2 linked regions of the Neurospora crassa OR74A genome follow. Each later gene encodes a partner of the first gene's protein in a complex. Links are inferred from orthologs where the notes say so. Each region holds a gene or a part of one and is shown on either strand. Other genes may lie near its edges.

Region 1 (8,906 bases):
CACCCGCTGAAATGGGCCGGCACCCTGACGCTGCCCGCCACATCACTACCGATGCCGATGCGTCCGCCACAAGCCAGGAGCGCCGACTCGCCGCCCGTCGAGCCGCCGGGCGAGTATGCCTTGTTGTGAGGGTTCGTGCAGCGGCCCCACACGTCGTTGGTGCTCTCGTAACTCAGCAGGGAGATGGGCAGGTTGGTCTTGACATAAGGGACGGCGCCGGCGTCTTTGAGAAGGCGCACCATCGGCCCGTCCTGCGGGTTGTCGGCCTTGTTCCCGACGAAGGAGGAGTACCCGACTGTCGTGTCGAAGCCGCCTACGATGATGGTGTCCTTCAGGCTGACGGGGATTCCGGCCAGAGGACCCTGGAGGTTGACTCTCTTGGAGTTTTTGAGGGAGTCCTCGGCGGCGGAGATGAGGACCTCGGTCAGGCAGTTGGTCTTGAGGTGGGCTCTGATGGCAACCTTGCCGTAGGTTTGGAGCACGGAGAGTGGCGATATGGCATTGGACTGGACCCCGGACACGAGTTCGGCGATGGGCTTGTTGATGGTGTCGAGGTCTTTGCCAGACAAGGCGGCATGGTATTCCGGACCGAGCGAGGAGATGCGTTCTTTACGCTCGGCTCGTTTAAGATTACTGTTTGAAGTAGTCTGAGGTTAGCAAAAGGACTACACATTTTTATTCCGGTAATCTAAAGAGCCCTAAGAGCCAGACTTTCTATAAATATGATTATGATGGATACTACTGACCAGTCCCGCTTGTGGCGGAGGTAATCCGAAAGGAAACTCATCGTGTCAGTGTGCTTGCTCACTGCTCACTGAGCTTTTCCCAATATCGAAAGGATGCTCGCTGAAACATCCAAAAACAAGGGATTGTGGTCTGTATGTATCGGTGCTGTCGGCGTTGCCGCGGTTGATAGCTCCTAGGGGCGATGTTGAGTTGAAGACGCGCCGGTTAATTTGTGGGAGGTGGAGATTGGATGAAGGTACTCAGACTGGAAGGGTATTACGCCGTCTAAAACGAATAGGCAAGACGATGTGAGGCCGGTGTAGATAGTTCGGGTTACATGTAACAGAAGTGAAGGGTAAGTTGACAAAAGTAAGCCCCAACACCAACCCCCCTCACGCGGGGGTGACTGCTCTTGTATAAGTGATAACGGCCAAGCCAATGGCGGGTATCTTGAAGCGGTTTGGTGAGAAATGGGAAGCTGCAAGGGGACCCGAGGTCCTACCCTACCTAGCTATCCGAGAACAGATAGCGTCCAGGATAAGCAGTTACACTTCTTCAATTGGACTAAGCTTTATCTCCCTATCGGCGTTTTTGGCTAAGCGTGGACAAAGAGTGCCCTTCGGACATTGTTCCTGTTAATCTTCCCCGCGTTTGAGGTCGCACGTGTGGTATGTTTGGTTACTGGTCACAGGTGCCTAGGTACCATCCAACTAAGTGTTTAAGCTGTCCCTCGTGGACCCGGCGTATCTTTTCCCTCCCAAATTCCTAGCTCCTGCCGAATTGTTGCACCACAGAAGTACTCACCGTAGGGAGAAATCAGACCGGTCAAGATTCCAGATACTTACCTTTAGATGATAAAGTAACATGAATGAATTCAGATAATCTTTTTACCTCGAAAAGTATTTTATTGTCGTCAATTATCATGCAATTGTTTTGTCTGCTCAAAAGCTGACGGTGGGTGAGTGCTTAAGCCGTCCTAAGCCGAGACCTCCGCGTTGGCGAGCCTGTACCTAAGCAGACCGATACCGGGCATAGTATCACTGCCGTAGCTCAGTCAACTAACTTCCGGGGTTTATTAGCATAACAAGAGTAAGAAGACTCCATACCGCTCATCTGTGCATGGCCGAATCTTCAGATATCATAAAGTAGCTGACATCTCAGTCTGCCCAGAATAGCACCCACCACCAAGCGCATCCAAACCACCAATTAAACTGTAGCTTCCGTACTTAAACGTTCTGTATTCTTCAGCCAGCATGATGCCTGCCAACACCACTGTAGATGCAATAACAAATTGACCTGGCCGCTCTTACCTTCACGATATAGAAGATTGTGCAGAGAACCAAGAGCCCAAGGGGCAAGTTCTCCCACACTGGGCAGCGAAACATCAAAGATATAGGACCAAAACCTCAAACCCTCAAGACATCACCCTTTTCCGTTCTCCTCCTCTTGCATGCTTTCCTATCTTCCATTCGACCTGTCTTAGCACATGTCAAAGACATCTATTTGTGAAGTATCCGCGGGTTGTGCTAGATCCTTGCGACAACAACCGCCTAGCGACCTACGCTTTAGCCACGTCGCTGTTACTGGACCCGTCAGTCGTAGACGATGCCCCTCCGCTGACCAAGGTAGGCGCGATGCGTCTCCGTTTGGGTTGCTGGCTATTCTCCGCGTTATTTGCCTCGCGAGAATCGCTTGACTCCCTCTTCAAGTTAGTGGAGCCAGCACCACCGCTCGAACTCTGCGGCGTCTCAGGAGGGGTCACAACGGGCAAGCCCGTAACCTTGCCCGAATTGGTGGCAGCGATGCTTGGCACTTGGCCAGAAATAAGCGGTGGGTTGCTCATAACCCCGCCCTGTGATGTAGAAGCTTGAGTAATGGCAGAACTAGTCGAGTTGGATCGTGCCGGTGAAGGGGGCGGCGGGTTCACGAAGGAAGCAGCTGTAGGTGGCGAAGGCGCCGTAAAAGAGCTCGCAGAGTCCCTATGGCGATGGTTGGTACCGTTGTGAAACGGGGATGGGGGGGCAAACACCCCCGAGGGATTGGGAAGAGACGTGTTCTGGTTCGACGTGGCTCCTCCAGAGGACAGTGAATGTCGTGGACCAATTTCTCCAGTATACGGTATACCCAACTCTCCAGGCAAAAAGGACAGGGTGGAACAGAACCCATCCGACGAGGATATCAACAGCGTCAAACCATCAGTCGACCTGCAACTTATATTAGTTTGCGAAGGCTCAAGGAAGCAAAGGGAATAACTTACCAGGTAAGGTCCGTAAAAGTGGCGCAGTGCAAGTTGCTCACAACGCAGATAGGTGTGTGTTGCTGGGTATCGTACAGAAGCACTGAGTCTTGGGTGGCTACAGCGTAGACCATCCGATACGGGAGCGCGAACGCCGACTTCGGTCCAGGGCTCTGCACTGGAGCCTCCGTCGATCCTGAAACCGAACTTTCGGTGGGCAATGGAGGAGGTGGTGGCTCCATCACGGACGGAGCTGTTGAGGGCTTTGCTAATGGTTCAGGCAGTGAAGGTATCGGCTCCTCGGCTGATGAAGTATCAATGGTGATGTGTTTGGTGACGGGCGGTGATTGTCTCAAGGTGTAGATGATTGGGGAACATCTGACGGCGACAGACGGCTTCTTGTGTCCGGGTAAATGGGCAATGGGTGGTTTGTTGATGCCACCTCGCGTGTATATGTATACCGTATTAATGACCTCGTACAAAGGTTTCCCGCCATCCACCTGATGCTGAGTCTGATATTGACCAGCAGGTGTCAGGAGCAGACTTCCGTCAGGTGTGAAGGTCAGTCTCCGGAAAAATGAAGTTAGAGTCTCATTCGCATAAAGGCTCGCATTCTTCATGCCCAGGCCGTAGCTTGAAGAGTGCGGTTTGGGAGAAGCCTCGATAGGCATAACAGCAGGCAAAGGCATGGACGGTGCGGGCGACACTGATCGCCTGGACGAGAACGACGATCTCCGGCTATGGCTGATGACACTGGGAGGGTTCATAGGCAGGGCCATCGAAGTGGGAGTACCCGGGATGGAAGGGTTTGGGGATCCAGCAACAGCACTGGGATCCAGGGATGTAAAAGCGGGCCGGTTACCGAACTCGGGCGGAGCTGGGCTATGAGAGGATATCCTGCGAGGAGGAAGATCTGTTTTGGCGTGGCTGGCAATCTTTGGTGGCTTGTCGTCGTGGTTGTTGGCGAGGGTATACTGGCCATCCTTGGTCCTCAGCGAGTAGATATGTACCGATCGATCGGAAGATTGTGTCGCGATGTACTCGTTCAGAGGATCCCATGTAACGCCCTGGACGTAGTGGCTATGTTCGGCAATCTGGCGCACGAGTGTGCCCGTCGAAGCGTTATAGATGCGCGCAACGTTGTCCATGCTGCCGATGATGAAAAAGGCAGCATCCGGGGACCAGGCAAGATCATATATCTCCGTGCCCAGGGACCGGCACATGTGCTTTGTCCTCCATGTTTCCTTGTCTTCGAGGCCTTCGTTTCCGAACGTCGCGTGGTGAGTGTCTGATGGAACCCACAAGATGACATTGCCGTCATCTCCAGCAGAGGCAAGGAGTTCACCTGAAAGGGGCCTTGTTAGTACGCGAAAAAGCGAGCCAAGGGATCCGGAGAGCTGGTGGCATGCCACGAGGGCAAGGACAACGTACCTTTGGGAGCCCAGCGAACGACGTTGACTGCTTGTGTATGTTTGGACAGGGTTGCCAAGTACTCGACCCTACGATTCTCGCCATCCTCCTCTATTCTCCATAGCTGTCGCAATCATAACAATCAGTATGGGTCCAAAAACCTGAACGCAAGGGCGGGACAGGGTAGATTGCATTACTCGAACATTGTTGTCTCCGGCGGCGGTAGCTAAGCGGCCCTTGCCTCCGGGTTCGAAATGGGCAGAGTAGATGGGGTACGGATTGTTTTCGTGGTGCCAGTTGATGATTAACGGAGTGGCTTTCATTGTGGCATATAGTCGGTTGGAGCACGAGACGGGTGGGTTGACGAGAGGTGAAGGACGGAAAAGTGGTGGTGAGAAAGGCGCAAGTGTTGCCGGGTCAAGTGGAATTATTTCAATCGGCAACGGCACCACTTTCTGGGGAAGGTCTGGGGTTTCTGATCGGTCTGGGGTTCCGTCCCGCCGTTGGCTCGGCGATGAACTGCCTGTCGTGAGAAGTGCGGCAGCCGTGCAAGTGCCCTGCGCTGTGCTATGGGCTCGAGGATAGCAGATCCAGCACAGGTCTAGCAGCTGCAGATGAGGCGGCTGGCTGGGAACAACAATGAGAAGGCTTCGATTTTCCGATGGTGAGGAGCCTGGGAGCACAGTCGATTGGGCTTTGGTCAATTGAAGTGGCCGGAGAAATCAATTGTCGTAATCTTGATGGAGGGAATCGCAAGAGGACATGGGGATGCGGGCGGGATATGTGAAGCAAGTTCTTTAATACCATCAAGAAAGAATTCGAGGTTTGGGTGGGTGGAATAGCTCCCGTTGAGGTCGGCTTGTTCCACGAGGCCTGTGCGGAGCTAGGTACCTAGCTCAGGGCGTTGATATTGGTTGGATTGGATGTCCGCGCAGTTGACCGGAACCTTGAAGGGCGGCGCCGCTCAGTTGCAAGAAATGATAGGTACGCCCTGGCGGGACGGGACTGGGCAAGGAGGAAGCTAGGTAAATTGCTACCTAGCATGGACATACCACTCAGGTGTCGGGCGAGTCGAGGTAGTCGATCTTGGCACTCAGGTACTTCTCCTGTTGACAGGCAGTAACTGAGTTGTCCGAAGTTGATGCCATTCACGATACATGTGACGACGGATGAAGCAACAATACCTAGCAGCAAAGAACTTGCTTGTTCGCATCCCAGGCAGACCTGGTTGAACTTGTTGAGGAGTGCTTTAATTGAATAACGTGAGACCTGCCACCTCCTACCACTGCACCTACTTACCTCCAAACCCAAGAGAAGAGGTGAAGAAGGACGGGAACCTTCCCTCCATGTGATCTGAGTGCAGCAGCTGCATTGCACTTGCCCGACAGTTGGCGCTGGCAACCCGCCTTGATGTTCAAGGCCCACCTTGCACGATCCCTTTCACTTTGCGGGACGGAACTGAAAGAGCCCAGGTGCACTGGCGGTCATCGAACAAATGACCAACTCCCAACCACAAAAACCTGGAACCGTGTTCTGCCCGCTCCTCCACCTACCTCGCTCCTGCATGCCTCAACTAGTACCAAGTCTCGGCAGCCACTCTACCTAGAGGTATACACAAGACTTCTGTCGACAGCCACCCTTCACACCCAGCCAATCAAATGGAGATTGCCTCTTCCCGGCGCCGGGACATTGATCCCGAACCGTGACACTGCCATGAAGGCGAGGCAAGACCTGAGCGGATGATACACCGACCAAATTTCCAGAATAAACACACCAAGGATTGAGACCAGAGTGCTGGGTGTTCAGTCGATCTTGTCTCCCAAAGTGACACCATATCTCGACCTCCCAAAGTCCAACCAACCAAGTGAAGATAACCATGAGCTGAACGACCCAAATCTGGAAAGAACAAGAGATCCGCTTACAGGTTCCAGTTGATTCTTCAACTGGTGGAACTGGGCTTATCGCGTCTGCACCCCCCCCTCTTTCTTCTCTCTAAACTGGATATGTATTGGAATCGAGCTTCATTTGACGGCAGACGGCAGACAATGGACAGCAGCGCTTCTCGGAGGCTTGCCCTGAGATCGACAAAGGCAGCGCGACAACCGACTTGCGACACCGGTACAATCGCATCTGTTCCCCATTCTCCTGGTTGTGGAGAGTTCAAATATGAGCACCCCGATGGACTACACTTGTACTCTCGGGTTGAGGACGACAGTGGTTTCGAGTTCGAAAGTTGGGCCAGATTTGCACCCGAATCTTTTAGTGACTCTGCGTTTCCATCAGTCAGCACCGCCCGTTCTCTCCTCGACATCCCAACAACTTTTTCCTAACACTCTTAGGTAATCCACCAAAGGATTACTAAATGAAACAACTTGGAAAAGACCGTGCAACCATAACGACCCAAGCTAGTGCTTTACAGAAAGCCACAAAGCCCCCACCAGCAACGACAATGGACAAGACGGTGACGATGGTGAGGGGAAGACTTTGGAAGAGTTACCGGCAAAGCGAAGAGGTCAAGTCATCGACCTACCACTTTACCGCCTTTACGCTATGGAGGATGCTCGGTTGTCCAGTTACGGCCCCTTACACACACCTCCTCTGACGTAGCGTTGTGGTGCCTTTATGCTTTCACAGCTCGAGTCAGTATGTTTGAGCTGGTGTACAAGCACATCCCCAACTTTCCGAGTCTCATTGACTTGGCCTTGACATTCATATGTTTGGTTGAAGAGGCTATCTTCCAGGATGGTCGTCTTACTTCGAAACCAGTCTTGCATGCTGTCTTACTTGGTGGCTTCCCCAAGGTGCTGCGGTATTCAAATTTCCCGGCTTGTTGAGGCTCACCACTGCGAATAGATTTCTCCAAGATCATGCTCCTAGCAGCTTGGCCCAGCTCAAAGCTGGTGCCGAAATTCGTCCAGCTGAGAGCCAATGCGTGGGAATTCACAAGGGCCGTCGGGATTGGTTTTGTACTTCTCCCTGAGCCGTGCATTATTTGATTGGTTTTCGTGTGGACGCCACGACCGATGCCGAACGGGTCTGTTGAGTTCAGGTTGTTGGTCATGGAGACTTTTGGCGCATTGAATGTCTTTCGCGCCTATTCGAGAGATTGGCGATAGTTGCGGCAGTTGTCGTGTGCGAACACCCAGAAGTCCGAAGCTCAGGCAAATGTGAAATTTGGGTGAAAGAAGACCAAAAAAAAGAAGAAGAAAAGGAAACTTTACACACGAATATCACAACAGTCTTTGATCACGAGAACGTCTCAGGCGCTGTCGCACAGCTCTTTTAGTCAATAACTCGGTCATTACGTGTTGACGAAGGTTCAGCAATGACAACTTCGTATCTTCACGGTTTCAAAGAGTCTTGCACATAGAAGCCGATTACGCCGACTTTATGGACAACCTGGTCAATAAAGAGGCGAGTTGCCGGATATCCGCCAAGCCAAAATTCAGGATGACGATGTCAGGTTCGCATCGTTGCAGAATGGCGTATCGCAGCGGTACGTACATAGCCGATCGGGCTATCCAAGATCAAGCGTCGTAGCATTTTCCGGTGTTTGAGGCTTACCAGTGGAGGTGTCTTTTGTCCCGACAGCAACAATTATACATGTACCTAGTGCACATAGTACGGCTGCATATCACGTCCAGTTTGCCCCTGGGCCCTTTCCATATCTCGGACAGTACACTAAATCCAAGCTAAAATCCGGGGCGGCTTGCACCCCGAGTGAGTCACGTAGTGTACAGATATTTCTCCTGCCTTTCTAGGTAGAGGCAGGTTCGAGTCGATACCAAGCTTGGCAATCCGTCCTCCTATCAACGTTGCGTTGAAGGCATGACGGGACGTACGGCGTAGCAGCATCTACTACCTATGCAGTATATGCATGCAGTATGGAGCATGCGGTGTATGTACCTACCTACTGCGTACAACCACTACATGGATTCCCAGCGTGGGAGTAAAGGTGATTTGAATCGATGGGGTATAGTGCCGGCTGTCAGCCTGTATGCAAGTGCATGAGAATGTGAGCAGTCTGTCCGTTATCTCACACCCCCCCTTCAGCCCAGGCGCTCGACAAGTTCGCCATGTGAGTCAAGACAACAATCTCTTTTCCATCTCCCACCCGAACGGCGACGGATGAACCCAATGCTGCTGGCTACCGTTGCACGATCATCTTACATCCAGCACACTGCGGGGTTCGTTGCATTCAGAACGGAAGGGTGTGTCTTGACATGTTCAAAAGACCCTTCTGCTGACAGGACGCCAGCCCGCTCCTGTCTGATGAACGTGTAAAAAGTCGGGGTTTTTGAGTGTGCATACCTTAGTTAGGTAGTTTTGTATCAATGGGTTAGCGCTTGTGTGGCGTTAGCTGTCTTTGCTGGCTTACACAAGCAGACGGCAACCTCAAGACCCGAATCCTCCGGCCTTCTGGGTCTGGGTGGAACCCCTGTATTATTGATAAGTAGCAGATTGGGCCAATCTTCGAGCGTCAATTGGAGGATTGGCCGCTTTCAACTTTTTTCTTAACCACACCCCTCTTTAT
Region 2 (3,600 bases), on another chromosome or scaffold:
TTATTTTTGTAATAATTTTTTCCTGGAAGAACTTATGCTAGCGACACCATGGAGGAGGCACCGGAGCCTGAAAGGGGCGAACCTGAAGACATTGGAACATTGAGAAATCAAGACATGAGTTTTACAGCGAGAACAGCAATATAGGGTACGGACTGATCCCAATCAATTCTCTCTTTCTTCCATGTTCTTTGCTTTCTAAAAGTAGGGTATGATAACACGCCACCAGCACCATGCAGCCAGCAACGATGTATGTTTCGCAAAAGCAACAGATAACACGGATCGACACGGCAACACACAGAAAGCAATCAAAGAGACATAACTCGTCAGCCTCCACCCACTCACTGCCCGCATCCAAACGAGGGAAGCTGAGCGGTAAGCACAAGACAACAATCGCCGGGACTCCATCTCATCCGGCTGATGACCCTCTCAATCACACCGCCCCCTTGGTTGGAATGTAGACAAACAGTATCCAGTGAGAGTGGGAGAACCCAGCCGTTTCCCATCCGCTTGCTTGTATCAGCTGCACAGCTTGGCCTCGACCGCAGGATATTGAAGCTCTTGGTATCCCATCCATCGCTCTTCACGGCCCCATGATCACAGACCAATGATCCTTTCTCGAAGAACCTCGCCTTTTGTGGTAATTTCCTGCAGTCCCCATTTCCGAATCCCACAGAGGGCTAACATTCAACGTCTCCTCGTCCTCTTCCATGGTCTCACTCTATTGAGCCATGGCCATGCCCTGCTGCTTTGGGTGGTCATCGATCTCCATCTCATCGCCCATCTCGATGTCCTCATCCTGTCCTTGCTCGAGCTCGCCCTCGGCGTCGCCTTCACCGTCCAGCTCGTCCTCGGATTCGTTCTCAAGATCGACGCTGCCGTCTTCGGACATCTCGTCTTCCTCAATCACGATGGCGCCATTTGGCTGGCCCTCAACTTCCATGCCACCGTTGACGGCGGGGTCGGCGATGCTCGATTGTTCGGCGAGTTCATCGGCACCATACTCTTCTTCGTCGGCGACCTCGTCGGCTTCAGGCTGTTCGGGAGGGAATTCAGGAGGAGCGGAGGCTTCAGAGTCCCTGTGGTTGATGGTGTTAGCATGAATATGGGGTAAAGGGAGAGAGACAGTTGTAAGTAGGGAGAGTGTGTTGCTGGGCAACTAAGACAGAAGGGAGGGCCAGTGGGGCTTGCCGCGTCCTTCCGCGCCGTCGGGTCGCGCCATCGCAGGCAGAGGCAATGCAAAAACTTTAACATCGTATCAGGGTGACACATACCACTTGATGGCAAATCGCGTGACTCTTGGCTTCTCGGCCAGGACGTTGCGGCGAATCTTCTCAATGACGGGCTTTGGGGGCGGATCATTAATGAGCTCCTCGCTCTCGTACTCGTTGTTAACATAGTACCCAACGCGCACAAACTCGCGACCGTCGTAGGCGCACGTCAACAGTATCACCGTGACGCCCAGAAGCTCGTCGATAGGGATGCGCTTTGTGTCAGGAGGCTCGGCCTCGAAAATAAACTTGTTGACGCCAACGGGAATGGGGCCGACGAGGAGGGAGTCGAGTTCCTGGTCGTAGTTATCCGAGGTGGCCGAGCCGACATAGGTGAGCTTCCATTCGAGGTCTGATACGCATACGCGACGGTTAGCGCCAAGATCACGACGCGAAGAAATGCGAATGAGGGGCGAGAAGAGGGAGGAGGAGGAGAAGCATACCCTTCTCGAGATGCTCAAGGCATTCAAAGGTGATTTCGAAGAGATACTTGTCGGTGAACTTGGCGGGGTTGTTCATGACATTGACCCCGAGAAGCGAGACGACAGACATCTTGGCGGTGGTGATGTTGCCGCGTGGGCAAACTGACAAAGATGTGAAGATGTCGCACTCAAGGAGTGGTGATGGTGATGGTGATGGTGGTGGTATCTAGTCGCGCAAGTATTTATAGTTGGTAGAAGGAATGTACCAAGTGATGATACAGCAGTACGAATAGACAACTCCCTGGACAAGGGAGAGAAGAAGAAGGAGGGAAGAAGATGCTTTGGGCCAAGACTTGCTGGTTGCTGGCTTGTCTTGCGTGGATGTGGTGTTTGTTTTGGTGGAGGAGGAGATTGGAGAAGAAAGTGGAGCGTGGTCTGTCAAAGTCAAGTCCAGCCAGCTTAATTATGCAAGGAGGGGGACAAGACAAGACCTACGGGACAGGACTGTGCATTGCGGACTGCGAGGGGAAATGGCCAGTTGGAGTGGGACAAGAACTGGACTGCAACGAAACTGAATGGAAGAGGGACAGGACGGCGCCTATCATGGACATTACATTGCACACGCGGGCAGAGCTGTTCCTATTTCATTACACTTGAGACGTATTGATACATTTGGTATATTTACCAACCGAAACTATAACACAGAAGCGGTTCCGATGGCTTTGAAATTCGTTTCACGGTGTATCTTTCCGTCTTCAGTTCTGCTCCTTCTGTGTCCATTGTGCTGGTGCCTGATAAGTACCTCTACAGGCGGGACATGTGCAGTGGTGTGAGTCGCGTAAATTGAAAGAAGTGGACGAACAGGAACGCGTTTCCCGCTTGTAGGGCGTAGTAGTACAGTAGTCTTGCCGCCGGCAATCCAACGTCTTGGTGTGGCAGGCATCGGGCCAGAACCCGACGGAGCGAAGAAGCCACATGATTCCAAGCTGCCAGCCACTTTCAGCCTCATGTGGATGGTTTGCTGTTGGACGGCCCGGGAGTGGATCCTCTGAAGCTTTGAAAAAAGAGGCAGCAGAAGAACCCATAATTTGAAAGAATCCGACCACTCAGCGTCGTCCATTGAACTTCCATGGACTCCATGGAGTGCGCTCTAGCGTCGCGACGGACTTTTGCTTTCAGTGAGTGACTGCAGCAGTGAGTGCAGCAGAACTGTCAAAGCTCGGGCAATGTGAGTTCTGTCGTTGGATGTCCGCTTTCCAACTTTGGCCTTTCTTTTGCATCCAATCTTCCATTCGACGACAAGGAAACGAACAACAACACACACAACAAAATACAAATCCACACCGACTCCAACTGGACCTTGCGATATTCGCCCATCCTCTCCGACGGATTCTGGAATACGATAGTATTTGCGCAATATCAACAAGTCTTTTTTTCTTCTTTTTCTTTTTCCACACCCTCTGGGTGGATTCTTTGTTGGTGTCCAGTCAACTGGTTATCACCTAGCTCTTTTTGACTTTGACCTCTCCTCCCCCCATCGACCCTCAAACTGCGCGACCGCGACTGTGACGGACCCCGACAGCTATAGCTACATATACAGCTAGCTACAGCCGCAGCACCTACCGTAGCAGCAATATGCAAGCATAGGTCACCCGTCTCCACGGCCCTGATTCCGACTGTTCTCTTTGCCGCCCTGCGATATCGACGCGCCTCGACCACACCCCGTTCACTTCCACGAGAAATACCGTTCTTCCAAAGCTAGGATAAACCGCTTCCATCTTCGATTCCAACTTGAACTCACAAAACATGTCCGACGACTACGACCCCACAAACATTAACGCTGCCTCGTGGGAGGAGCAAGAGGACTATGGCGAGGCTGATGGCAGCGAACAATACGGGGAGGCTGAGGG

What was found.
Region 2: the proteins of cac-2 (region 1) and asf-1 are in contact, whole or in part, in a crystal structure (PDB 2Z3F), measured with the Schizosaccharomyces pombe proteins. The link is inferred for Neurospora crassa OR74A from reciprocal best matches to the Schizosaccharomyces pombe genes pcf2 and asf1. Residues at the interface, in NP_594450.1 of Schizosaccharomyces pombe: Lys503, Arg504, Ile505, Ala506, Pro507, Thr508, Pro509, Val510, Tyr511; in NP_588267.1 of Schizosaccharomyces pombe: Phe28, Asp37, Leu60, Leu61, Val62, Gly63, Pro64, Ile65, Pro66, Gly68, Ile69, Asn70, Lys71, Phe72, Val73.

What each region holds. Positions count from the first base shown.
Region 1 is NC_026501.1:5,640,556-5,649,461, reverse strand, and holds cac-2 (chromatin assembly factor 1 protein), read right to left. Parts: upstream 5,242-8,906; 5' UTR 4,696-5,241; coding exon 4,570-4,695; intron 4,497-4,569; coding exon 4,394-4,496; intron 4,308-4,393; coding exon 2,984-4,307; intron 2,931-2,983; coding exon 2,285-2,930; 3' UTR 1,615-2,284; downstream 1-1,614. Other genes in the region: NCU08356 (acetamidase), read right to left, coding at 1-633, 747-787; NCU16404 (hypothetical protein), read right to left, coding at 6,632-6,640, 6,964-6,990, 7,128-7,433. UniProt on the Schizosaccharomyces pombe protein: Acts as a component of the histone chaperone complex chromatin assembly factor 1 (CAF-1), which assembles histone octamers onto DNA during replication and repair.
Region 2 is NC_026507.1:177,599-181,198, reverse strand, and holds asf-1 (histone chaperone asf-1), read right to left. Parts: upstream 2,298-3,600; 5' UTR 1,821-2,297; coding exon 1,712-1,820; intron 1,621-1,711; coding exon 1,272-1,620; intron 1,077-1,271; coding exon 719-1,076; 3' UTR 25-718; downstream 1-24. Other genes in the region: NCU09435 (mRNA 3'-end-processing protein RNA-14), read left to right, coding at 3,497-3,600. UniProt on the Schizosaccharomyces pombe protein: Histone chaperone that facilitates histone deposition and histone exchange and removal during nucleosome assembly and disassembly.